Linked DNA regions of Arabidopsis thaliana. The protein of the gene in region 1 interacts with the protein of each later gene in a biochemical or structural test. Each region holds a gene or a part of one and is shown on either strand. Other genes may lie near its edges.

The links. Proteins that work in one complex are often made in the same cells at the same time.
Region 2: the proteins of CRY2 (region 1) and CIB1 form a complex in vitro, tested with the Arabidopsis thaliana proteins (one study listed by BioGRID).

What each region holds. Positions count from the first base shown.
Region 1 is NC_003070.9:1,184,988-1,190,318, reverse strand, and holds CRY2 (cryptochrome 2), read left to right. Parts: upstream 1-1,622; 5' UTR 1,623-2,132; intron 2,133-2,245; exon of another isoform or gene 2,246-2,312; 5' UTR 2,313-2,417; coding exon 2,418-2,730; intron 2,731-2,834; coding exon 2,835-3,059; intron 3,060-3,154; coding exon 3,155-3,867; intron 3,868-4,012; coding exon 4,013-4,600; 3' UTR 4,601-4,807; downstream 4,808-5,331. Other genes in the region: c-NAD-MDH1 (Lactate/malate dehydrogenase family protein), read left to right, coding at 12-289, 379-514, 607-718, 807-901.
Region 2 is NC_003075.7:16,496,567-16,500,690, reverse strand, and holds CIB1 (cryptochrome-interacting basic-helix-loop-helix 1), read right to left. Parts: upstream 2,301-4,124; 5' UTR 2,226-2,300; coding exon 1,923-2,225; intron 1,820-1,922; coding exon 1,559-1,819; intron 1,472-1,558; coding exon 1,337-1,471; intron 1,244-1,336; coding exon 1,172-1,243; intron 1,078-1,171; coding exon 907-1,077; intron 811-906; coding exon 745-810; 3' UTR 517-744; downstream 1-516. Other genes in the region: AT4G34540 (NmrA-like negative transcriptional regulator family protein), read right to left, coding at 9-185. UniProt on the Arabidopsis thaliana protein: Transcription factor that binds DNA to G box 5'-CACGTG-3' and, to a lower extent, to E-box 5'-CANNTG-3' in vitro. Binds to chromatin DNA of the FT gene and promotes its expression, and thus triggers flowering in response to blue light.

The DNA.
Region 1 (5,331 bases):
TTTTTTTTCAGGTTCTTGTTGTGGCCAACCCGGCAAACACCAACGCATTGATCCTCAAGGAATTTGCACCATCAATCCCTGAAAAGAACATCTCTTGTTTGACAAGGCTTGACCACAACAGGGCTTTGGGACAGATCTCTGAGAGGTTGAGCGTGCCAGTGTCTGATGTTAAGAACGTGATCATCTGGGGAAACCACTCATCCTCACAGTACCCAGATGTCAACCATGCTAAAGTGCAGACCTCGTCTGGAGAGAAGCCTGTCCGTGAGCTCGTCAAGGACGATGCATGGTATGTATAACATGCCATAGAACTTAAGACCCTTTCTCTTCTCTGGAAGCAAAATCTAGTTTCACTTAAATATATTGCTCATTCTGTAGGTTGGACGGAGAATTTATCTCTACAGTTCAACAACGTGGAGCTGCAATCATCAAGGCGAGGAAGTTGTCTAGTGCGCTCTCTGCTGCTAGCTCTGCTTGTGACCACATCCGTGACTGGGTCCTTGGAACTCCAGAGGTTCATAATAAAACTCTTCCCCGTTATTTGCAGTGCTGTTTTTTTGTAACAGTTAATCTAATATGAGTTCTTTCTTTGATTCAAATTGTCAGGGTACGTTCGTTTCCATGGGAGTATACTCCGATGGCTCTTACAGCGTTCCATCAGGACTTATCTACTCCTTCCCTGTAACTTGTCGCAATGGAGACTGGAGTATTGTCCAAGGTAAATATGACGCACTTACAAACTCAAATGCTCATCAATTATGAAATCCTAGATTCTGCAGACCCTAATGTGTATTTTGTTTGGTTAGGCCTTCCGATTGATGAAGTATCAAGGAAGAAGATGGATTTGACTGCAGAGGAGCTCAAGGAAGAGAAGGACTTGGCGTACTCATGCCTCTCTTAAACCCTTCTGGAGCAAAATTTTCATCTATAAGGTGTGAGATCAGTTAAAGCCTTTCAGGGCTTTGTCCGAATAAGAAGTGTGTTTGAAAGATCTCCAAACACTGTTTTATAACCTCTTTGGTCTCTTTGATGAGTATTGTCCCTGGTCTGTTTCTAAACCAGGATATCGTTTTTTTCAATGTGTCTGATTTGGTTTACCCATGAAAAGAAGAAAATTGGCAGTTGCATGGTTATCTTTTGCGATTATTTTTTTCTGCTTTAGCAATTAGCCCAAAATTGATGAGCTCTTCGATAATGGGTTTGTGCAATTGTGATTTGTGAGGAATGGTGTTATTGTGTTGCAATTGCAAAAAGAAATGCTACTCTTGCAGATTCATACCAAAACCAAATCACTAGATTAAACTGAAATTCTAATGTGGATTATTTTAATTTTACTTCTATTTTTCTTCACCCAAATATTTTATAACCAAACACCAAGTTGACACCAAAATATACATCCAAAAAACTTAGATTGCTTCTATTTTACGACTATCCGAAATCGAATCATAAACCGTAGGCAATGGTCCATTAATAAGGGGTATACGAGGATTCAAAGTTTGAGAGAACTTTTTTATCTTTACCTTTTTCCTTTTGTAAAGTAAAAGCAGTGGATTTTGATTATAGATTCTACTTGGTAATGACTAATGAGAATCAAGTTCTCACCTTTAAGCCATATAGACTTTAGATATTTAATGGATTCTACAAAAGTGGGCATGACCAGAATCGAGTTCATGAACCACCGTCCTCGGCCCCAACGTTAAAAAACTTTTTTCTCTAGCATAAGAAGATAAGAGTATCTTCACTGCGCTTTAGGCCCACTCAACATTCAAACAAAATTCGATCTCTTATAAAAAAATATCTCACAAGAGAAAGTTCGTACATGATCCCGATAAAATCGTAGATGAGCAAATCAAAGATGAGATGTCGGTAAAAAAAACGCTATTATAAGAACACACGCCACTAGTTGTGGATAAAGTTGTCTACTTTTGTCTCGTTGTGATTATTATATTGCACAATTATTAACATTCATACTCTCATATGGGTATTGTTTTTGGTCTCCGTTAGATCTCAAATCTTTAACTTTGCATACCCAAAATAGGAAGAAAGAAGAGTCAAGTCACTAAAATAACTTTCACAGTCTTTGATTCGAAGATCTTTGTCGCCGAGAGATATCCACTCTGATTTGAGTTCTGGTAAAAAGTTTCCAGCTTTTGATTTTTGTTTCTCTCAATTGAATTTCTCTTGCTTGCTCTGTTTAAAAGGATTAGGATTAAATCGAATCTCTCTCTGTTATGTTTTTTTGTAGATTATTTTGGATTTTAGGACTCAAAGATTACAGATTTCTTATCAATCATTCTCTGTTATTGTTATAGAACTATTCTCTGGAGGAGGTTGAGGTCTGAAATCATGGAACAACTTGGTTAGAGTGTGGAATTTTAGCTGATTTGATCTTTGATTCATCTGTGATCATAATAACTATGAAGATGGACAAAAAGACTATAGTTTGGTTTAGAAGAGACCTAAGGATTGAGGATAATCCTGCATTAGCAGCAGCTGCTCACGAAGGATCTGTTTTTCCTGTCTTCATTTGGTGTCCTGAAGAAGAAGGACAGTTTTATCCTGGAAGAGCTTCAAGATGGTGGATGAAACAATCACTTGCTCACTTATCTCAATCCTTGAAGGCTCTTGGATCTGACCTCACTTTAATCAAAACCCACAACACGATTTCAGCGATCTTGGATTGTATCCGCGTTACCGGTGCTACAAAAGTCGTCTTTAACCACCTCTATGGTATATACTCTTTCATCTCTTATTCAAAGGATATATATTCTTATTAAGTTAGTGTAGTCTAAGTGCAACTGAGGTTGATGCGATCACGTTTTTCTTTGTTGTAGATCCTGTTTCGTTAGTTCGGGACCATACCGTAAAGGAGAAGCTGGTGGAACGTGGGATCTCTGTGCAAAGCTACAATGGAGATCTATTGTATGAACCGTGGGAGATATACTGCGAAAAGGGCAAACCTTTTACGAGTTTCAATTCTTACTGGAAGAAATGCTTAGATATGTCGATTGAATCCGTTATGCTTCCTCCTCCTTGGCGGTTGATGCCAATAACTGCAGGTAAAACCTTAAAGAGTATTACTTAAAAGCTAAAACGTTTTTGATTTCTTCAGGACATAAGCGGTAGTAAAAGTTTATGGCTTTTTCTTTGTTAGCGGCTGAAGCGATTTGGGCGTGTTCGATTGAAGAACTAGGGCTGGAGAATGAGGCCGAGAAACCGAGCAATGCGTTGTTAACTAGAGCTTGGTCTCCAGGATGGAGCAATGCTGATAAGTTACTAAATGAGTTCATCGAGAAGCAGTTGATAGATTATGCAAAGAACAGCAAGAAAGTTGTTGGGAATTCTACTTCACTACTTTCTCCGTATCTCCATTTCGGGGAAATAAGCGTCAGACACGTTTTCCAGTGTGCCCGGATGAAACAAATTATATGGGCAAGAGATAAGAACAGTGAAGGAGAAGAAAGTGCAGATCTTTTTCTTAGGGGAATCGGTTTAAGAGAGTATTCTCGGTATATATGTTTCAACTTCCCGTTTACTCACGAGCAATCGTTGTTGAGTCATCTTCGGTTTTTCCCTTGGGATGCTGATGTTGATAAGTTCAAGGCCTGGAGACAAGGCAGGACCGGTTATCCGTTGGTGGATGCCGGAATGAGAGAGCTTTGGGCTACCGGATGGATGCATAACAGAATAAGAGTGATTGTTTCAAGCTTTGCTGTGAAGTTTCTTCTCCTTCCATGGAAATGGGGAATGAAGTATTTCTGGGATACACTTTTGGATGCTGATTTGGAATGTGACATCCTTGGCTGGCAGTATATCTCTGGGAGTATCCCCGATGGCCACGAGCTTGATCGCTTGGACAATCCCGCGGTAAACTACAAAACTTGTCTTATAGTTTAGAATTCAAAGCTTAATACCAGTTTTTGCTATGCATTCGTTTTTTATTTTATTTTTCAGCTTATTTGGTTTGGTTGATTTAGTTCTGAAGTCTATGAAAACTCTGTTTTTATTTCAGTTACAAGGCGCCAAATATGACCCAGAAGGTGAGTACATAAGGCAATGGCTTCCCGAGCTTGCGAGATTGCCAACTGAATGGATCCATCATCCATGGGACGCTCCTTTAACCGTACTCAAAGCTTCTGGTGTGGAACTCGGAACAAACTATGCGAAACCCATTGTAGACATCGACACAGCTCGTGAGCTACTAGCTAAAGCTATTTCAAGAACCCGTGAAGCACAGATCATGATCGGAGCAGCACCTGATGAGATTGTAGCAGATAGCTTCGAGGCCTTAGGGGCTAATACCATTAAAGAACCTGGTCTTTGCCCATCTGTGTCTTCTAATGACCAACAAGTACCTTCGGCTGTTCGTTACAACGGGTCAAAGAGAGTGAAACCTGAGGAAGAAGAAGAGAGAGACATGAAGAAATCTAGGGGATTCGATGAAAGGGAGTTGTTTTCGACTGCTGAATCTTCTTCTTCTTCGAGTGTGTTTTTCGTTTCGCAGTCTTGCTCGTTGGCATCAGAAGGGAAGAATCTGGAAGGTATTCAAGATTCATCTGATCAGATTACTACAAGTTTGGGAAAAAATGGTTGCAAATGATCAAAATAATGTGCTGTTATAAAGCCTAACATGTAGATGTGTGAATGTGTCTTTTAACTCTTTGTTTCCTTTTGGTTATACTCAAAAGGATATGATTGCATAAACATATAATGCTGATATTATTTCAATTGGCTATGAATAAAATATACATATTTGTTTAGTCTTTGAATTTGTTTCATCTGAGTTGTTTAGTTTGAGGAAAAAGATAACGGCCAATTTATATTTCTTTATAAAGAAAAGAAAGGAAATCTCGATACACGACGTTTTTATATGAAACAAATGCAGTTGGAAATAAAAGTAACAAATCATTGGTCTAAAAACCCCAATGAAAAATAGTAACTAAATGACTGAATACTACGGTAAGATTTTTTTAATTTCTATAAAAATATAAGATTTTTTTTGATGATTAAAATATTTTTTTATAATCAATTACAAATAATTATCATATCTTGAAAACAACAAGAATTTTTTTGATATAATAAAAATATTAAATTAAATTACAAAAATAAACGATACTAGAATTATATTTCATTGAAATTTCTTATATATATATATAGCTGATATTTTAATACAATTATTAATTTATGATATTGATGGGACTATATGTTTACATAGGATTTTCAAAAAAAAAATATTTTATTAATTTATCGATTTGTATCGCTTTTTACACTAGTCCCAAATACTGAAAGAATTTATTATTTTATAAAAATGATTAATTTATCGAATATTAA
Region 2 (4,124 bases), on another chromosome or scaffold:
AGAGAGACTTTGAGGAGGGTAACGCCGGCGTCGGAGAGAGATTTCAGCTTATCGGAGAGAGTGGTGTTTCTGATGAGAGCGAAAGTCGGGTGACCCGATTCGATGCTGAAACGGGTCAAATAGTTCCCTAATCTTCCTGTTGCTCCGATGATCAAAACTCTGCTCTTCTTCTTCTCCTCCTCCATTTATATATACTCTCCGTATAGAGAATTAGGATAGTTTAGTTCCAATGGGTTGGTCATAGGTTTTAATCTCTGACTCAGTTCTCTTACATTGTCGTCGTTTTGTCCGCCACGCTTAACAGGTGTTGTTTATTCAATTGCTTTAAATTTGGGATTAGTCCCGCTTTTTCAAAGTAACCAAAACATAGATTAGAAGATTGTTAGTGATAAGATGTAAAACATAACGTTAAACGACTGGTGTCTTGTTTCTTGATTTCATGGTCGCATGACTTGTGGCATTGTATACTAAAAAAAAAAATACTAATGGATGATCATTCACCACAAGAAGATGAGAACACACCTTGAATTAAAGACACAAGTCCACCGATAAGAAATATATTACTGGACTGGTTTGCAAATTATACACAATAATGTCTACACTCTTTGATACATCAACTAATGGGCGGGGGATCTCAAGTCAATAATCTAGTGGAATTAGTAAATAACAGCTACTGGTTTGCTCTCTCTTCCGATGAATAATTTGAATTAGGGAACATTGTTATGTTGTGGATTGGTTTCTTAATCAAACTCCTAAATTGCCATAGAGATTCTGCACATGAGAGTCCCACATCGAAGGAGCTTCGCCATTCTGTAACAATCAAAACATATTTAGTAAAAAATTATCATATCCAAAGTTAAACTAAAGGATAGATCATAATGAAAGAGTATTAAAAATATGACTTACGTTGAAGCATGACAATGGATCAGAACTGGTATTCACTTGCTGCATTGGATTGACATGAAGGTAACCGGAGTTAACCATCTCACTAGAATAACCAGAGTGAACCATCTCATGAGAATAACCGGAAAGAACCATTTCAGGAGATGGCACCACAGTCATTGGAGTTGAGGCAACCTGGTTTTGAATCCACATGGCGTATTTTAGCTCATCTATAAATAGCCTTTAAAGTTTTGTTTTTCATATAAGCATAAACAAATCAATGACTAACCTCTTTGGCAAAAATGTCATCCATATCAAAATCCGGCCTTGGATTCACAATTGCTAGTTTCATCGATAAGAACTGTTTTAAACAATATTTTGATAACAAATTAGGAAGGTAATGCAAAATTAGTCTTTAAAACATATTTTCTATAAATGGAAATAATTTTCAGACCTCGATTTGTCTCTGAAGAGACTGAACATAGTTAATGATTTCATCAAGCATCCCTGCTTTGCCTGTGATCTTGTCGCATCCAGGAACCAAATCTTGTAGAAACTTCATTCTCTCACTGATCTTTTCTCTTCTAACCTTCACAAATTTAATACTTTAATAATTAGTCTCAATGATTACACAAAAAACAAAGTTAATGAATTTTAGTTAATGAGGCTCTCTTACTCGTTCTGCTATGCTGTGACTATCAGTGGCTTGGCCTCGTCGTGCACGAACATGAATATAATCCGTTTTCTCCAATTCCTTCGTCACTTTAGATGAATCATTAGAGAAATTGTTCTCTTCTTTCTTGGCTTTGTGTTTCATCTTCTTGATGCTTTTTGTGCTCCCATTGTTTTGCTCTGTTATTTTCGACTTCTCTTCTTCTCCTTCTTCTACTAGGTCATCTCTGTTCATCGTCATCTTCTTCTTCTTCTCATTACAATCCTAAAAGCACACACAGAAGAAACAGATAAGCCAAATCTCAAAGTAAGATCTGTTTTCTTTTTCATTTATAGAACTTAAACTTAAGTTTTCTTTACACACGAACCTTAGTCTCTGTATCAAACTTCCGTTTCTTGAAATTTCCAGTCCCAAGCGTCGTTTCCGGCGAAATTGAGAGTCTTGAATCACCTTCCACCGTCGTCTCACCGTACATCATCGGAAGATTCAAACCGGCAGTCGAAAGATAGCTGTCCATCTCGCCGCCGGTAATCATTGAAGAATCGGCAAAGAAGCCGGCGAGAGGAGAATCAAAGGTGGGATTGAGGTACTTGAGGTGAGCCCTTTGGCGCTCTAGGACCGACATGTCAGGAAAATTGAGCAAAAGGTCACCTCCTATAGCTCCATTCATCGTTATCGTCTTCTTTGGATTCAGAAAACAAGTTGCTTGCAACGAGAGAGAGAGAGAGTGGAGAAAGAAACAGAGTAAAGGTGAGGGTAGAAGAGGAAACGATATTTATAACAAAAACCATCAGCTCTGTACTTAGTCCATATTCATCGCATCTAATAAGGTAGGCCCATATACAAATCTGGAAACTTTATATGTTTTGTGATAATTGATATTTGCGATGATTGAAAATTGAGAAAATAACTAAAAATAGTGAGTGACACAGAAAACTTATAAAACATTTATTACGTAATATATGCATGTATTATAGTGTAAATTGGATCTTGATTCACTAAGAAAGGATAAGCTTGGGATGTCTATGCGAATTGGAGCGTCTCTTCTTTAGGTTTCTTTCATTATAGGAGCACGTGAATGGTCACGTGGGAATGGTCTAGTTGTAACACAATGAAAAATAATTTTGTAGTTTACAAGCTAGTTATGATTATATGAATCAGATTGGTGTGTGCGCTAGATATTTCACCTAATTAAAATGGGGTTACAAAGAAAACACTTTACCTCATTTCAATAGCTCTGGTCTTAGTTTAGCTACGAAGCACTGTTCACATGAATTTATTACATCCTTCGGAATCTTGTTATTCAGATCGATCATCATCATGTGTCTGATCGCCATGCTGTATACATTGGCTTACTCTATCGTGATAGGCTAATACTGAGACGGCGCAAGAGAGGCTGCCACGTGATCGCCATGCTCTTTTTCGATGCAGAAGGCCCATCACATGAATTACTCACAAGTTAGTTTTAGTCTTAGATCACTTTCACCGATTTCGGTGAGCAAATATTTCGAAGAAAAGGACCTTCCATTAAAGTATATATGACATTGTTTTAGATTCTCAAATATTTTCATTTATCCGACTTTTTATGTTATTGGAAAACGCTTTATGTGATTGATATAGGGACATGAAATCTTCTCGATTCTATAATGAAAACCCAACTCTCTTTTATTTTGCTTAGTCCAGTTATATATTAACCTTTAAAGCAGATACATGGAGTTAGTAGATAAGGAAAGGGGAGGGTGTAAAGTTGTTAGAAACAAAGACATGGTCGTTGCCTTTTGATGTGATGAATTTGGACTAAGTCCATAGAAGATGATGATCAGCTATTTCCCTCCCTATCATACTATACATGCATACACTAAAAAAAGTAAAGCCACACACCTAATTTGTGGGTTCCCCATCACCTTGTACATATATGTTCATAAATTCATGTCGACATGTATGTAGATGTTGACATTTGATTCGGTGTGTTGTATTGGAGATAGTTATATTATTTATACAAAAGTATTTAAATACATCTATCCAATTTCTTTCCTTAAACTGGAGAATTGATCTGTGCACGTATATTTATCTATGTTTAATTAAGTGTTGTTACTAACTTACTAAAAGATATCTATATCAATTTGTATATGGGAGAGTTCTTAATTAGAATTAGAAATTGCTGTAAAAAAAATTAGAATTAGAAACATATCATCGACGTAGAAATTTCTGATGGAACAATAATGAGGGGAGATCCAATGGTCATGACTCATGAATCATGATCACATGATGGGAGCCTAATTCCTATATGATGGGTTATTCTCGATATATGCATGGGAATTAGACGTATAAATAAGAGGACTTTTTTTTTTTTTTTTTTTTTGGGTTTTAAAATAAAGAAGAGTTGTGAATTTTATAAACTTTCATATAACTTGCATGTATTTTAAAGGTATACAACTTTCCTAAGAAGTCTTTTTCGTCAAAAGAAGAATTGTTTTTTTTTCTTAACATCCAAGAAGTATTTATATTTTTTATGGTTACTAGTTATTGTTATAAAAATGATTTAATGATAAATGAGTTATTGTTATAT